Schizosaccharomyces pombe: one gene and its partner. The gene in region 2 interacts genetically with the main gene of each other region. Each region holds a gene or a part of one and is shown on either strand. Other genes may lie near its edges.

Region 1 (5,332 bases), on a different chromosome or scaffold from region 2:
AAATCACCTTGAAGTTTATGGACGTACTACATACAATATAGTCTTGCATAATTCTTGGCAAGCAAGCTGGTTTAAGAGCATGTTGACATCTGTGAGATATGCAAAGCATGGAGATCATATTGATATATATGTTAGTGATCCATTAACGTGGAACCATACTGATACAAATCCTTGCTTTGTATTGGCATTACAGGTAATTAGCTCCTTCGGTCATGATTTATTTCGTCAGAGTAACGGCGCCATGATGATGGAACGGTGCTGGCTTGGTCCAGAGCACTTTTTAAACGAATTCTTCACTCTAAATACTCACCAAAAAGTTAGCTCTTTGAATTACCATTTAGCATTTCAACAAGCTAGGATTAATGTTCAGCAAGGGTTTAGCGACAGCAGGGCTAAACGGTACTTTTCCGGTGTTAAACAAGTATTTTGGTCCTTTTTTAGCACGCAAAAACTCACATACTATCCTACGAAAGCCATTAGATTTTTTGAACGATTGTCAAAACAGTTTCCGCACCACAGTCTGCTTTTGATGGACGTGTGTCACGTTGACAAATCCTTGCCTGGAATCAATGCACCGTCTGTTTTAAGTATGGAAAATGATTTTTCTACAAAAAAAATGTCTTCTAACATTGGGCACGTGTTTCAAAATGAGACCGTCAAATATGTGTTTCCCACACCTTTATATCTAGTTTCAGATATACTTCAGCTTGCTACTCATAATCGGTCCTTCATTTGTTCACTTCCCCATTTCTTAAGGCGATGGTCTAATGAACATGGTAGAAAGTTTTTCGTTCCTGTAGAACCGTCATCTAAAAACCTAAAAGTTCCTTATTCCTTCAACAATTACTACGTTGTCTCGTCTATGCCAACTTATTATTACTAAATGGCAAGTACTATTTTTCTTATTCTTTGTTCAACTTGAGAGGTGCACTAAGCGGGCTAGTGAATTGACTTTAGTTATTTATTTATTTATTTTTTGAAAATTGGTTATAAATAAAATAGCTTTAAATTGGAAAGAATATCATATTCAGTTAGGGTTGAAAAGGTTAAATAATGAAATTGCCAGTGTCAACTCGAAAGAGAATGCGAGCTTTAAACTGCATAAATAATTAAATATCGGAAATTTATACAATCTTCAAACGCAAGCCGTATTCAGTTTTGTATTGAACATCGATTGAATTGCTATAATCTTCCTATTAAAGATTTTGCAATAAACATTAATAATCCATTGAAATTTTTTTTTTTTTTTTTAAGAATCGAATTTTATTGTATTAAGACGTGATCCTAAACGCATTGTATAATATCATTGTGTTTTATTTTCCTGGGGTTTTTTTTTATTGCTTATTTAATTAATTAATTATTTATTTAATTAGTTAATTTATTTGCTTAGTTTATTACAACTCGTTCATCTTTTTATTTGGTTTTTTACTTTTAATTATTATTTCTTTTTTAATCATTCTTGAGAAATCGCTCTGTTTTGATTATGCGATTTATTTGCTATTGTCTTTTAGCACCTACAAATTTCTCAAGAATATTATCCTGTATGATGTTTTACATATGAATATATGAAATTGATTGATTTAAAATTGATACTATGATGAGAAAGGGAAGAGGTTTAACACTTCATTCTATAACCGTTTTCTTTTGTTTTCAGTGCTGACCAATTCCTTGCATACACAAAAACTTTCCAAGGATGATGATGGACTGGCTGACCATCAATGCATTTTGCACTTAAAATAGCGTACGTTTTATCGATTTACCGATGTTTTCCATTGGGTTGTGTTAAATTAGAGGTGACCGTAACCATGTTATTTTCCCAGTACTAAGTTAGTAGGAAAGCTATAGAGAAACCCAAAGTCCCCCACTTAGGCCAACAGTGGCGCAGCTACATCGATAAAGCAAAGATGAAAATAGCGATACAAAAGGTCAACACCAAAAACTCATCAAGCGAGCCAAAGTATGTAACCTCAGTTTACAGAAAATGGGACAGGTAATAACAAATGCCAACACCTGTGGAATGAAAGTATTTCAAGCACAAAATCGGTTTGTTTGATCTAAAGTGAGCATGAATGAGAGAGAAAGAAATAAAATAATAATAGAATCATTGTTTGAATAGGATTAGTCAGAAATGGTTCAATTTTCACAATCCTAGGATGAACCAAAGGTAGTTTACGTAATCTTGGTAATCAACCGCTGGTCCCAAAAAAACAGGAAATAAAAAAAAACACATCGGAGGCTTTCAAAAAATCTATATAAGGACGTAAAATTCCCTATATTTTTAAACGTTCCAAAGAAATTCAATCACAGCTTCATTCTTCACTGTCGTGCTTCGATTTCGTTATTTTATTACTCCAGCGTTTTATTAAACCCAGTATGTCTACCGCAAACACCGTCGCTATTGTGATTTATTCCACTTATGGCCATGTCGTCAAACTGGCTGAGGCCGAAAAGGCTGGCATTGAGAAAGCTGGTGGAAAAGCTGTCATTTATCAGTTCCCCGAGACATTGAGTCCTGAAATCTTGGAGAAGATGCATGCTGCACCCAAACCCAATTACCCTGTTGTTACACTCGATGTCTTAACGCAGTATGATGCCTTCCTCTTCGGTTATCCTACACGCTACGGCACTCCTCCTGCTCAGTTCCGTACTTTTTGGGACTCCACTGGTGGTTTATGGGTGCAAGGTGCTTTGCATGGAAAGTACTTTGGTCAGTTCTTTTCCACCGGTACCTTGGGCGGTGGTCAAGAAAGCACTGCTCTTACTGCCATGACCAGCTTTGTTCATCATGGAATGATTTTTGTACCTCTTGGCTATAAGAATACATTTTCACTCATGGCTAACGTTGAGTCCATTCATGGCGGCTCCAGCTGGGGCGCTGGTTCCTATGCTGGAGCCGACGGTTCTCGTAATGTATCCGATGATGAACTAGAAATTGCACGAATTCAAGGTGAGACTTTCTTCAAGACTGTTTTCCGCAAGTAAGACTTTGCGAATAGTATCTATTGAAACAGTGCAAATGATTGCACAATTTTGAGTTGAATCACCAACTGGCTTTTTTTGTTTACGCCCATGCATTGCATTGCTTGGCCAAGTAATGCACGTTTCGCTAGTTGATTGTTTATACCATAGAATGAATATTCAATTATTTCTCTTTTAAAGTAGAAGTCTTAGGAATGTATTTTCGCGTAATCCGTCACCTAATTGAGATGCTTAATGTAAAAAACATCCATTTTCTGTATCTCAACCATTCGATTTAGTAATGTGTCGTTTATAGCTAACTGAACAAAACGATATTTCTACGGATGTTCTCTCTTACAAATCGCTTTCGCCCTATATTCTTGGGAGTTATTATTTAATGCTCTTTTGCTATTTGTTAAAGACCACTCACTATTACTCGATTTTTCGACACGTGTGATGTATGTATGTATCGGCACTGATGATGATCAGAAAGACATCTTTCGATAATACCGCAACCATAAACTATCCCACGATTCCGTCTATCCTCGTTTGAGTTTCAATATTTTATTGTTCGTGCGAATTTAATAATTCAAGGTTATCACCTTTTTATTCTAGAGTTGTAAGTTTTTATATTAATTGCCTTTCTTTACTACTGCAGGTAAGTTTTGCTTATCAATCGAATCGTTCAAGGCTCCACCCCGCCGCAGAACTTTAAACAAACCCGGTTACACGCGTGTTGTAGGATCTAATTCAGCAGCACAAAAGATGTAAAAAAGAATTGGATTACAATGCCTTTTACACAACTTGTCTATCCTCTCAAACTTCTGATCGATACAAAAGCTCTTGCTCAGCGCTTTCGCCAAACTCCTGTAACCCTTATAGCATATTTCTATGCGAACTCTGATCCGCAGCTTAATGCAACTTAAACCATAACATTGGGAAGCTATTTTTGCATGCGTAAGGCTACCTAATATATCGTCATAGGCAATATGTTTTACTTGGCATATGATTTCATACTCTAAACCCAAGTCGTTTTGGTCTTATTATTTAAAGGATGGTTAGTCCATCAATGGGAAGGCACTGATTATTTCTAATTGAGAATTTTACCCCAAGGCTCTCTGATATCTTGAAAGCATTCCTGTACTGAAGGCTAACCTTGAATTGGTAAAGCACTTATTCATCGCGTATTCCTTTCGAATATACGCAAAGTTTCAGCCATTCTGTTCGTTATTTGATTATTGTTTTGTTGGAGATTTTATTAATAGGAAGTTATTTCTTTAGTTTTGCCATACATTATTGTTATTTGCTATATTAGTTTTCGCCCACTCGCTCTTCTACAGTTAAAGTTCATCTTATAAACAAAAATGGTTACTTTTATGGTATTTGGTGCATCAGGCAACCTCGCCAACAAAAAGACATTCCCTGCCCTGTTCCATCTCTTCAAACGAAACCTGGTAGATCGTTCTTCCTTTTACGTACTTGGATATGCTAGAAGTAAGATACCTATCGGTGAATTCAGGGAAAGTATTCGTGAATCTGTGAAGCCAGATACTGAAAGCAAACAGGTGTTTCAGGACTTCATTGACCGAGTATCTTACTTCAGTGGTCAGTATGATCAGAGCAGTTCTTATGTGGAATTTCGAAAACACCTAGAATCAGTTGAAAAAAAAGCAGACTCTTCGAAAGCACTTCGTATCTTTTATATCGCCTTACCACCATCTGTTTACGTGACAGTCAGTTCTCATATATATGAGAATTTATATTTACCAGGAAAATCGCGGTTAGTTATTGAAAAACCGTTTGGTAAAAACTATCAATCGGCTGTTAAACTCAAAGAAGAAGTTCATAAGCATTGGAAAGAGGAAGAAATTTATCGGATTGATCATTATACAGCCAAAGATATGGTTAACAATTTTTTCACCCTTCGTTTTGCAAACTCTTCGTCCATTGACGCAGTTTTAAATCGCCATTCTATTCAATCCGTCGAAATACACATGTATGAAACGGGAGGCTGTGAAGGCCGTATTGGTTACTATGATGCGAATGGAGTCGTTCGCGACGTCGTACAGAATCATTTAACTCAAATTTTTTGTATTGCTGCTATGAATGAACCGAAGTCTGCTTCTGCGAGTGATGTTCGTGCTGAAAAGGTCAATTTGTTGAAAGCTACCAGACCAGCATCTTTGAAAGAAAGTATGCTTGGTCAGTATACAACTAGCGAAGACGGTAAAATACCGGGCTACTTAGACTTGGAGGGAGTCCCTAAAGATAGTAAAGCCACCACATTTGCTGCATCCACTCTTCATGTTGATAATGATCGATGGAAGGGCGTACCCTTCGTATTTGTCTCTGGTAAGCGGATGAAAAAAGGTGA
Region 2 (9,590 bases):
CTGCTCTCGCAATGTACCCAATTTGGCAACTGCCTGAGCATGACGAGAGCGAAAATTAGCAATAGCAGAAGCAGTTGCGGCATCAAGCTTCAGCTTGCTAGCTACACTAGCCCAATCAATCGCCTTTCCAGCAGCGCTAGCAACTTTCGACATTTGCGTAAATAAAGAAGAAAAAATTCAAAATTCAATAAAATAACAGTTATATTGTTAAACAATTTAACTGTCTTATAAATATTTCCTGCTTTTGGTTATGTGTTGAAGAGATGGGGGTAGTTGGGGAACGGATGATTTAGCATTGCCAGAGCCATATTGCCAGGTGGTTTGGCTTTCAGCAGTAGGCTTCCTTAATGGTTCAAAAAATATCATATAATTGGGTAAATGAAAGCAACAAGTACAAAATTACTACAAAAAAAAAAATTAAGCGGTTAGAATAGAACTTGTGCCCTACAATTAGTATACGCTCCACTCATTCTTGTGCTAATAGAAATTCAAAGTTAGCTGTAAATTTTGATTTACCGGTGTATCACCAAATCACTTTGTACTTCTCATGTTTAATTTAAGATTTCATTTTTGAATGTCGAGAAAAATTATTTAGTAATTGGTTTATTGATAATTTATAAATAATATAAAAGAATTACCATAGTAAAAAGGAAAAAGAAAAGTTCTAAACATATTGCCATAACTATAGTTACTCGCGTAAACGTGCTTCCAATTCTGCTTTACGAGCTTTACGAAGCTGTTCAACCTCATCTTGACTAGTGTTATAGCTCACATTCATCTGAAATTGTTAGTAAAAATGATATTTACAATGGTTTTCCTGTTTAGGGTTTATACATGATATGGTCATCATCAAAAAGAGTATGCATGTACCCTTATCGCTTCTTACCTTATTGAAAGGATTGTCCGGATGTTTCTGAAATTCTTTATACATTATGTCTTCATATTGGTTTAAACGGAGGCCCGGTTGTTCTTTGCGTAGTTCAGGCAAACGAGATTGTTTGTATTCTGTCAAAGCTGCTTTAAACCGACGTTCAGGATGACGATCAATTTTATCTTTGGACGATGAATTGTTTAAACTTAACAAATCCAAAGCATCATCAATATTGCGGGCACTATATGAAGCTGTCTGAGGGGTTTCGTTGAGGAAAGCGTCTAAAGATGAATTCTTCTTTGCAGCCTTCTTTGACCCCTTTCCTCCTTTAGATGGAAGACTCTCCATTTCTTCTTTTTCTAAACGTTCACGTTCAGCTTTCCTCTCCAACGCAGCTTTTCGTTTTTCAGCTTCTTGCTCCTTTTTATTAGTTTTGACGCCCTTGGACCATTTTTCGTCTTCTTCAGCGTCTTTTTTTTTCTTTTCCTCGTCTTGTTTTCTAGATTTTGCCGCTTCGGCCTTTTCTGCTCTCTTTTTTGGATTCCCCATATCAAGGCTATTAATGGTATGTGAGATTTGAATGACTTGAACAACAGGTGATTTCTATATGCCGCCTCGTTATAAGAAAGGCGACGAAGGATGGATTAATAATCTGATCTGATAATTTTTATAAGTGAATGTCTCGTTATATCTCCCTATTTTTATCAGTGTATTTACAAAGGTGTATTGATAACACTGAACAAACGGCGTCAAACGTTGGTATGTAACTGAATTTTTATCACTAAAATAGAAAATAAAAGTTCTTAATTGGAAATCTGCTACTATTTATTTCCTTAAATGCCTTGATGCAGGCTAAGGGTATATTGAATGGTATAGACACTGCATAATACACCATAAATCCTTTTTATGACATGATGGCATTCTTAACAGTGATAACTCATTAAAAAGAGAAACAAAGTCAACCGATGTAAATTGATCATACTCTTCAATTACAATATTATATCATGACAATTGTTATGGACTTCGATGTGTATTTCATGAAGTTTGAAAAAGTAAAATATATCATCAAATTAAATGCTTATTCTTGCCAAATTATTCAACAATATCGTACAGTGAACAATTGCTTTCAAGTATTGATTAGTTTATTGTAATCTATATAAGTATTAAACTTCATCTTCGATACAAATAACGTACAAACTAACATTCCGATCATCTTAATTGTTAAAGGAATTAATGAATCTATAATTCTAAATTATTTTTTTTAGCACTTAAATTTACTCATCCTATTATTTACATTTACAGTATACGGTTTCTTAACGAGTATACGCTATTATTATGCCGAAACATGAATGCATATCAATTTTGGTTCTACCAGCACTGTTCCTCTATTTTGAAGGGTTTATAAGTTAAAGTCAAGTAAGCATTACCTCTGATTATTATTTCATTTTATATCAAGTTCTTAATCAACGTTCTTATTTTTTTAATTCGTGTCTCTATATTTTGACAATTACTTGAAAACTTGTCATACGACAAAGGTAAAGAAGGAATTGCTAGCATTTATAGCTTTAAAACGATGTATATTTTCTATTAGGGATATATTGTTATATTTTTGACTCTCAACGAATACTTCGTACTCGGTTCCTTCGATTGCTGTTTATCCTATCTGATATAAATTTGAAAATTTGAATTAGACCCTATGCTAACATATTCTTAGTTACATGTATATATAGAATTTTTTTTCGTTTAATTTTATTTTTGAAAATTAAACTTTTTGATCACCTTTCGTAAAAGTTCCTTTCGATGAGCTTTCTGAATTCTTGGAGAGCTGTTAAATATACAAATAAGCCTAAGGAAGAAGACATCAAACTCCCAAATTCTGCATCAAATCTTCCAACTACTGTACAAGCATGTGTGATACAGTTTATCTCTTCTCTAGTTAGTCCGGTTCACCCTCAATTGCTTTCGCCTGAAGAACTAGCAAAAGCATTTCAAAACTTTTACAAGCATACCGATGAGTTTATTGCTTCAACCCTTATCCCTCAACCCTCTTCAAAAGATCAAAATGTGCCTCTTTTGTTTCCTGAGGAAATAGATGCTCAGAAAAAGGCGAGACAACACTTGCTGAACCAAAAAGATGAATGGATGGACCAAATTGAAGATATAGTTTGCGAATATTTGTATGATCGGTATGTGATTACTTCGCCTACAATAACTGTTTACTAATATTGTGTTAGGATTTTCTGTTTATCTACAAGTACGGATGCTGCCAAAGATGACTTGTTAAAAAAATTTATTGCTTCTGAAGAAAAGAAAGAACTTATCAATTGCATTCCAATACCTGATGATGAAAAACTTACAAACCGGTTACATGAAGTCTCTGAAGCATTTTTTGCTCTCGATGAGCAACACACACCTAGATCGAAAATAAACACTTTTATGACCGTTAATTCAAGTATATTGAATGCCTCTCAACTTCCTCAAGAAGAATTGAATGCTGATTCTTTATTAAATTTGACCATATATTGCATTCTCTGTTATCCCGGATTTCATTTAATATCGCACCTGAATTTTGTGTTACGCTTTCGAAATGCAGATTTTTTAAGCGGAGAGCAAAGATACTGTCTCACAACTTTTGAGGCAGCCCTTACTTTTATTCTTCGAGCTTGTCCAAATCTTTTAACTCAATCGTCAATTCAACCCTCTGATGATCCTCTTTCACTTGAGGTAGCTAATAGCGAAACAGTTTCGACCTCTAACTCGCTTCATGATCCGAGTGCAGAACCCTACCCTGTGAATCGCTCATCTTTATCTAATTTAAGAAATCTGGGACTAGCACTTGAGAAATCTTATGCCTCTCTACTTAGTAAAGTAGCCAATCACACTGCCAAAAGTTCAGAAGATTCTTCCAATTCTGTAGAATTCGTGGGCGACCCACCTTTGGAACGCTTTTTGACTGTTTCTGATGCTAGCGATCTTAAAATCGGTGAAATTGAACTTCTTCTTTCTGACTATAAGCGCCTCGCACGTTTGCTTTTTGAGAAAAATGGTAATCAGTAATTTTGACTGAATATTTTCTTTAAAAATTTCACATCCAGTTGGTTTTCGGCTTTGTTTATGGTTATTTGATTCATTTGAGAGACAAAGTCATATAGAAAAGTTATATGATTGATCAATATTTTTTTTTTCTTTGTTGCAGGTCAATTCGTGAACAGCTTAAAAGTTTAAAAGAAAATTTTTATTCAAAACAAGGATTGATTATTCCTTGACGTCTATTTTATTAATGTATGAATATCACAAAGAACTAGCAAAAATGATTTAAGCTTGTATGTTGACGCAAAGATTGCATGCGAATTAAATCCTTACAAAGGAAATATATGAAACGAATATATCATGTTACTGCAAAATTTTTAAATATACTGAATAAAATGAACTGTGATTCTTTGCTCAGTGAAGAAAATAGTCATATTTGAAACTAGGAATTAAACACACAATCACAAACTTCGGATTATAATGGGTAAGAAAGTTTTTTAAGTTGTCACATTATATATAGTAATGTTTAAAATATATTTCGGATAATCATATATATCTTAATTACAATAAAGAAGCGTGATTTTGGTACATGAATTTATATACACTTTCAAAATATACGTTCATTTTTTTATTTAAAATTTCTCTTAAGGCTATTTTATTTCAATGCGATAATCGAGTGCTGTGTGGACATCAAATGATTGGTTGCACTAAATGTTTATAGTGAATAGTGTAATTTACTTCCTTAGAAACCTAGATTTTGAAAAATTGCAGTCGCGCTTTAATAAGTCTACTTCGAGAGTGAGAATGCAGCATTAGCTTGTGGTTATGGAAAATGACGAGGCTTTTGATAGATTAATAAGAAAAATTCAGGAAAATCAAAAACACCCATCTTTCGAAGGGTCCAATAAAGTTTTGCATTTGGCGCTTTCATACCTAAATACTAACAGACAAAACCCTCATTGGGTTTGTGATCCTAAATTACAAGTAGCAGTTCGTGAATGTCTTTTTCTATTTTCTTTTCAAAATGATAACGAGTATCTGGTATGGTTCAAAAAACATTTGAACGAACGCCTTCAGTTATGCCCCAAATGTATAGTTAAATATCACCAATCTTTAGATGATTTCAAAAGTCTATGTTTAAACATTTTTCACTTTGACCCAAATACTCTTGAGATTGTAATGGAGAAAATTTATAGTTGGGACATTTTTCGGTTACAGGAAGTTCTCAAAACAGTGCCTAAAATCGACACGTCCTCGGCCTCTAAACCTATACTATGCGCCTTCTACGAAATCTTATACTCTCCTCGTATTTTACATAATAAAGAAATCTTTCCCTTGTTCCGAAACAGATTTCTTGAGTCCGGTTTTCTTCGGCTCTCGAAAAACCTAGTGCCAGGTGTCATAAGTCTTCTCTTCTCGAGAGATGATGAGCTCCGAAGATGGGCTTGCAGTATTTTAAGTGATGTAAAAACAATCTCCGATAATGAATTTAAAATCCTTGAGGGTCCCCTTCTTCAGGAAATTCGTTCTTTAGACCAGAAGAAAGAAAATGAGAACGAGATGCAAATTTTTCTGAAAGGTTTATCGTTGCTGTTAAAGCATGTTGATCATCTTTATTTTAGGGGACTTACAGGAAAAAATTTCAATGTCGCCGATTTTATTCTTTCGGGATTGCAAAGCGACCATACTAATTTATGTCCGTCTTTCCTTGTATGTTTACATTCTTTGTTATACTGCTATGGACGTAATTTTTGGACGCCAGAAATTTCTCCCAGTGAAGTAATAGATAAAATTTTTAATGGTAATGCTTATAAGAGGTGGACAGAAGAAAATACATCCAATTTTTCAAACGACCAAAAGGCAGAGAATCCGTTTGAATGGGCTACCTCTCTTTTGAAGACAATTTCAATCATTGATGAAGTTGAATTAATTAACAAAATTTTGATTAATTACACCATGCAATATAAAAAGGAACTGGAAGTCGGTTTCAAAAATGTTCAGTTACTTCAATCACTTGCTGACATATTTTCAGTTTTGTTTTCCGAATATTTTATGATTTTCCCCCATAGTGATCAAAGTTTACAAAACAAAGTATTTGAATTACATTCCACTTTAGCGATTAAGTTTGACGAGCTGTTTCGTTTGCTAAACTTGGAAAATGAAGAGTCTGTTGAATGGAGGCTTATTAAGAAAGTTTTTGAATACCGATTGAATTTAGATCTTTATATTTTGAAGCAATTCTATTGCCATTATTTGGACAGAAATAGAAAGCCACCCTTGAATATCAAATCGGTAAGTGAGTCTTTTAAAAATTTTTGGGTATATTTGCAAAACGTATTTCGAGAGGAGAAGTTCTTTATGGTTCGTATTGTTTTTCGTGCTTGCTCTACAGTTTGCTTGATTGATAAGTTGCCGCCTAAGAAAGTTGACATTCCGTTCAAAAGTGATTTCGAAAATGCACTAAACGGATTTGTTGCAACATTTTCTGAAATGCTTATTCAGACTCAATGTTGGCATTTGTCGGCACAAACCCAATTGGTTTCAAATCCTTTAACTTTTCGTGGAATCTTTTCACTCGTTTTTTCTCCAATTCTTGAGATCTCAACAGGAAGTATCTCAATTATTAAATCTATTTCGCTTTCTGACAGCGTTGTTGATACTATAGGAGAGCTATTGAGAAGCCAGTTTTCAAATACACTAAATTCTTCATGTTATGTTCTTCTGCAGTGGCTTAAAGTCAGAAACTTTGGAGGAGCCAAGCACATTGTTTATTTTAATAAATTAATTATAAACACTATTTTTGACTCTGTTGATGGCTTAACTTCTAAGGATGCGACTTTTGCAAAACAAGTGGAAAAGAAAGAATCCCTTAAGAATTTCTGGGAATCGTTATGGAAATTCTTTACTCATTTTTTCATTGTTCTTCCTACTTGGCCAGTTCATGATAAGGACAATTTAGTTGATTTAATGCGGGATACCCTTGATTTTTGCGATATGCTCATTAATATTTTTGAGGAAGTTAACGGATTCATTTTTGGATTATCGGATAACGATATTAAAATTGTTTCGGCTAATGATAAGGGCAGTGCTTTAGCTATGTGTATAGCTGATTCTTTGGTTACTGTATCTTATTGGCTTAAGTTAACTGATTCTTCACTTCTAACATCCGTTGTGAAAGTGATTTGTAAAATGCTTAAAATTTGTAAAAAGTTGGAGTGTCCAATTAGTCAAAATGTGATTGATATTATCCATAGGGCATCAATTACCAGTGATGAACAAACAATTCTTACATTCACTGAGAGAGAGGATCTTTTTATATCGCTCACACCATACCTTTCAGAAGACGTTCTTAATCACTCTCCTTTCAATGATACCAATACGCTTGAAACTAAGTTACAGAGTGATGATCGGGGTTTGCTTTCTAAAGACCAGACTATTGGGATTGCGAAAAAATTACCTGAGTCAAACATTAGTACTTCAAATCATTTTTTGCTTCCTCCGAAGGCTATTTCTGCTTCTAAAGCCATCAATAGAAATGCTCAAAAATCTCAAAATTTAAATTTTTTGAAATCTAAACAAGAGACAACACAGCGAATTCGCGAATCCGCGAAAGTTCCAAGAACCAGTGCGGGGAACCATCTTTCTGAGAAACTTAATTCGGATAATCATATACCAAAAGCTTTGCAAAAGCTCGATTCTGCTGACCCAATTCGCAAGCCTTCACTTTTGCACACTTCTAAAAGTTATTCTAATCCAGATGACAAAAATACTTCAACTTCCGATGAAGATACCTCGGAGTCCGAAGAAGAGTCTAGTAACGGTCTATTCTCGCTTGCACGTGAAGCTAATTCTCATGCCTCTAAATCTCTTCCACAAAGAAGGCAGATTCAGTTCTTGGACTTTGATTCCCTTAAAACAAAAAATGTAGTTCATCCTACTCAATTGCGCCGTAATACTCAACAAAGTGCACAACTTGCTCGACTCCGGCTAAACCCTGATGTTCAAGAGTTTTACAAAGTAATTTTGGGTTGGAACCCATTAGCTGATTCTTTTTCGGCGTCTAATGTTGAGATGCAGTGCGTCCAAGCTAAATTCACGTATAATGATTCAAACGCTTATGAGAAAGTTTTCAAACCAATGTTGTTTCATGAATGTTGGGCTCAAGTGAAAAGTGCCGTTGAAGAAAAGCAATACCCTCCCATAGATTTAATCCTCAACACCCGCAGTACAGTTGATAACTTTGTCGATATTTACTTTACGTCCTGTTCACCTACCGAAGTCTCTTTTTTAAGTGATACAGATATTTGCTTACTGTCAAAATCACAAAGTTCGGGCGATACTAATAACCCAAAATCTTTTCAGTTGTGCAAAATTCAATCCATTTCTCGTAAAAAAGAATCACTTGAACTCTGTCTGCGGATGAATATTGAATCAATTGATCTACAGGAGTATGCACCGAACATTAGGTTCACAGCACAAAAATTATTTAATGCTACTACTAGCTTACGTGAATTTGCTGCTTTAAAATCTCTTCGCCATTTACCATTGTCTCAGAGAATTCTGGATGCCAATGTAACGCGTCTACCTTCAAATTTTACAGATGACAAAAAGCAAAAAATAATGAAGTCTTATGGTGTAAATGAACCCCAGGCATATGCGATTTATGCATCTTCTGTAAATGATGGTTTTACGCTCATTCAAGGGCCTCCTGGAACTGGAAAAACTAAAACCATTCTAGGCATGATTGGAGCTGTACTTACTTCTTCTAGTCAAGGGTTGCAATTTAATGTCCCAGGACAGACGCGAAAAACCTCAAAGAATAAGATTTTAATATGCGCTCCTAGTAATGCAGCCATAGATGAAATTCTCCTTCGTATCAAAGCCGGTGTTTACGATCATGAGGGTATCAAATTTTTTCCAAAAGTTATTCGTGTTGGATTTGGTGACTCCATAAGCGTTCACGCTAAAGAATTTACTTTGGAAGAGCAAATGATAAAGCAAATGGAACTTACGAACCTAAAGAAAGATCAAGAAGCAAACAATTCCAGTGATACTCGGAAAAAATATGACTCAATTATTAAAAAAAGGGACTCTTTACGCGAAGATCTAGAAAAGTTTCGTAGTACTGGAAAAAATAGTTCAATATTGGAAGCACAGCTTCGTGAGATTACCAAACAGAAAAACATGCTTGAACAGAGCCTTGATGATATGAGAGAACGTCAACGCTCAACTAATCGTAATCTGGATGTTTTGAAAAAACAAATACAAAATCAACTACTTCAGGAAGCTGATATTGTATGTGCTACCTTATCTGCGAGTGGTCATGAACTACTTTTAAATGCGGGTTTGACTTTTCGAACTGTCATAATTGATGAAGCTGCACAAGCCGTTGAATTAAGTTCAATCATACCTCTTAAGTATGGCTGTGAGAGCTGTGTAATGGTTGGTGATCCGAATCAGCTTCCTCCTACTGTGCTATCAAAAACCTCTGCAAAGTTTGGATATTCACAATCTCTATATGTCAGAATGTTCAAACAGCATAATGAGAGCGCTTGTCTTCTTAGCATACAGTATAGAATGAATCCTGAAATTAGCCGATTTCCCAGCAAGTTTTTCTATAATTCAAAACTACTTGACGGTCCCAATATGTCAGCAGTGACATCTCGACCTTGGCACGAGGATCCGCAGC

Evidence for each region.
Region 1: of oxs1 (region 2) and obr1, changing one suppresses a phenotype caused by changing the other (phenotypic suppression), as found in Schizosaccharomyces pombe (one study listed by BioGRID).

The regions. Positions count from the first base shown.
Region 1 is NC_003424.3:2,091,933-2,097,264, reverse strand, and holds obr1 (NAD(P)H dehydrogenase (quinone)), read left to right. Parts: upstream 1-2,280; 5' UTR 2,281-2,373; coding exon 2,374-2,982; 3' UTR 2,983-3,155; downstream 3,156-5,332. Other genes in the region: SPOM_SPAC25A8.03C (uncharacterized protein), read left to right, coding at 1-883; SPOM_SPAC3C7.13C (glucose-6-phosphate 1-dehydrogenase), read left to right, coding at 4,323-5,332. UniProt on the Schizosaccharomyces pombe protein: Unknown. Target of pap1 transcription factor. Confers brefeldin A resistance in S.pombe.
Region 2 is NC_003423.3:2,558,264-2,567,853, reverse strand, and holds oxs1 (oxidative stress transcription coactivator/ribosome recycling protein Oxs1), read right to left. Parts: upstream 1,421-9,590; coding exon 887-1,420; intron 779-886; coding exon 689-778; 3' UTR 501-688; downstream 1-500. Other genes in the region: atp7 (F0-ATPase subunit D), read right to left, coding at 1-153; guanyl-nucleotide exchange factor Muk1, read left to right, coding at 2,672-3,057, 3,106-3,928; ATP-dependent RNA helicase Dbl8, read left to right, coding at 4,727-9,590.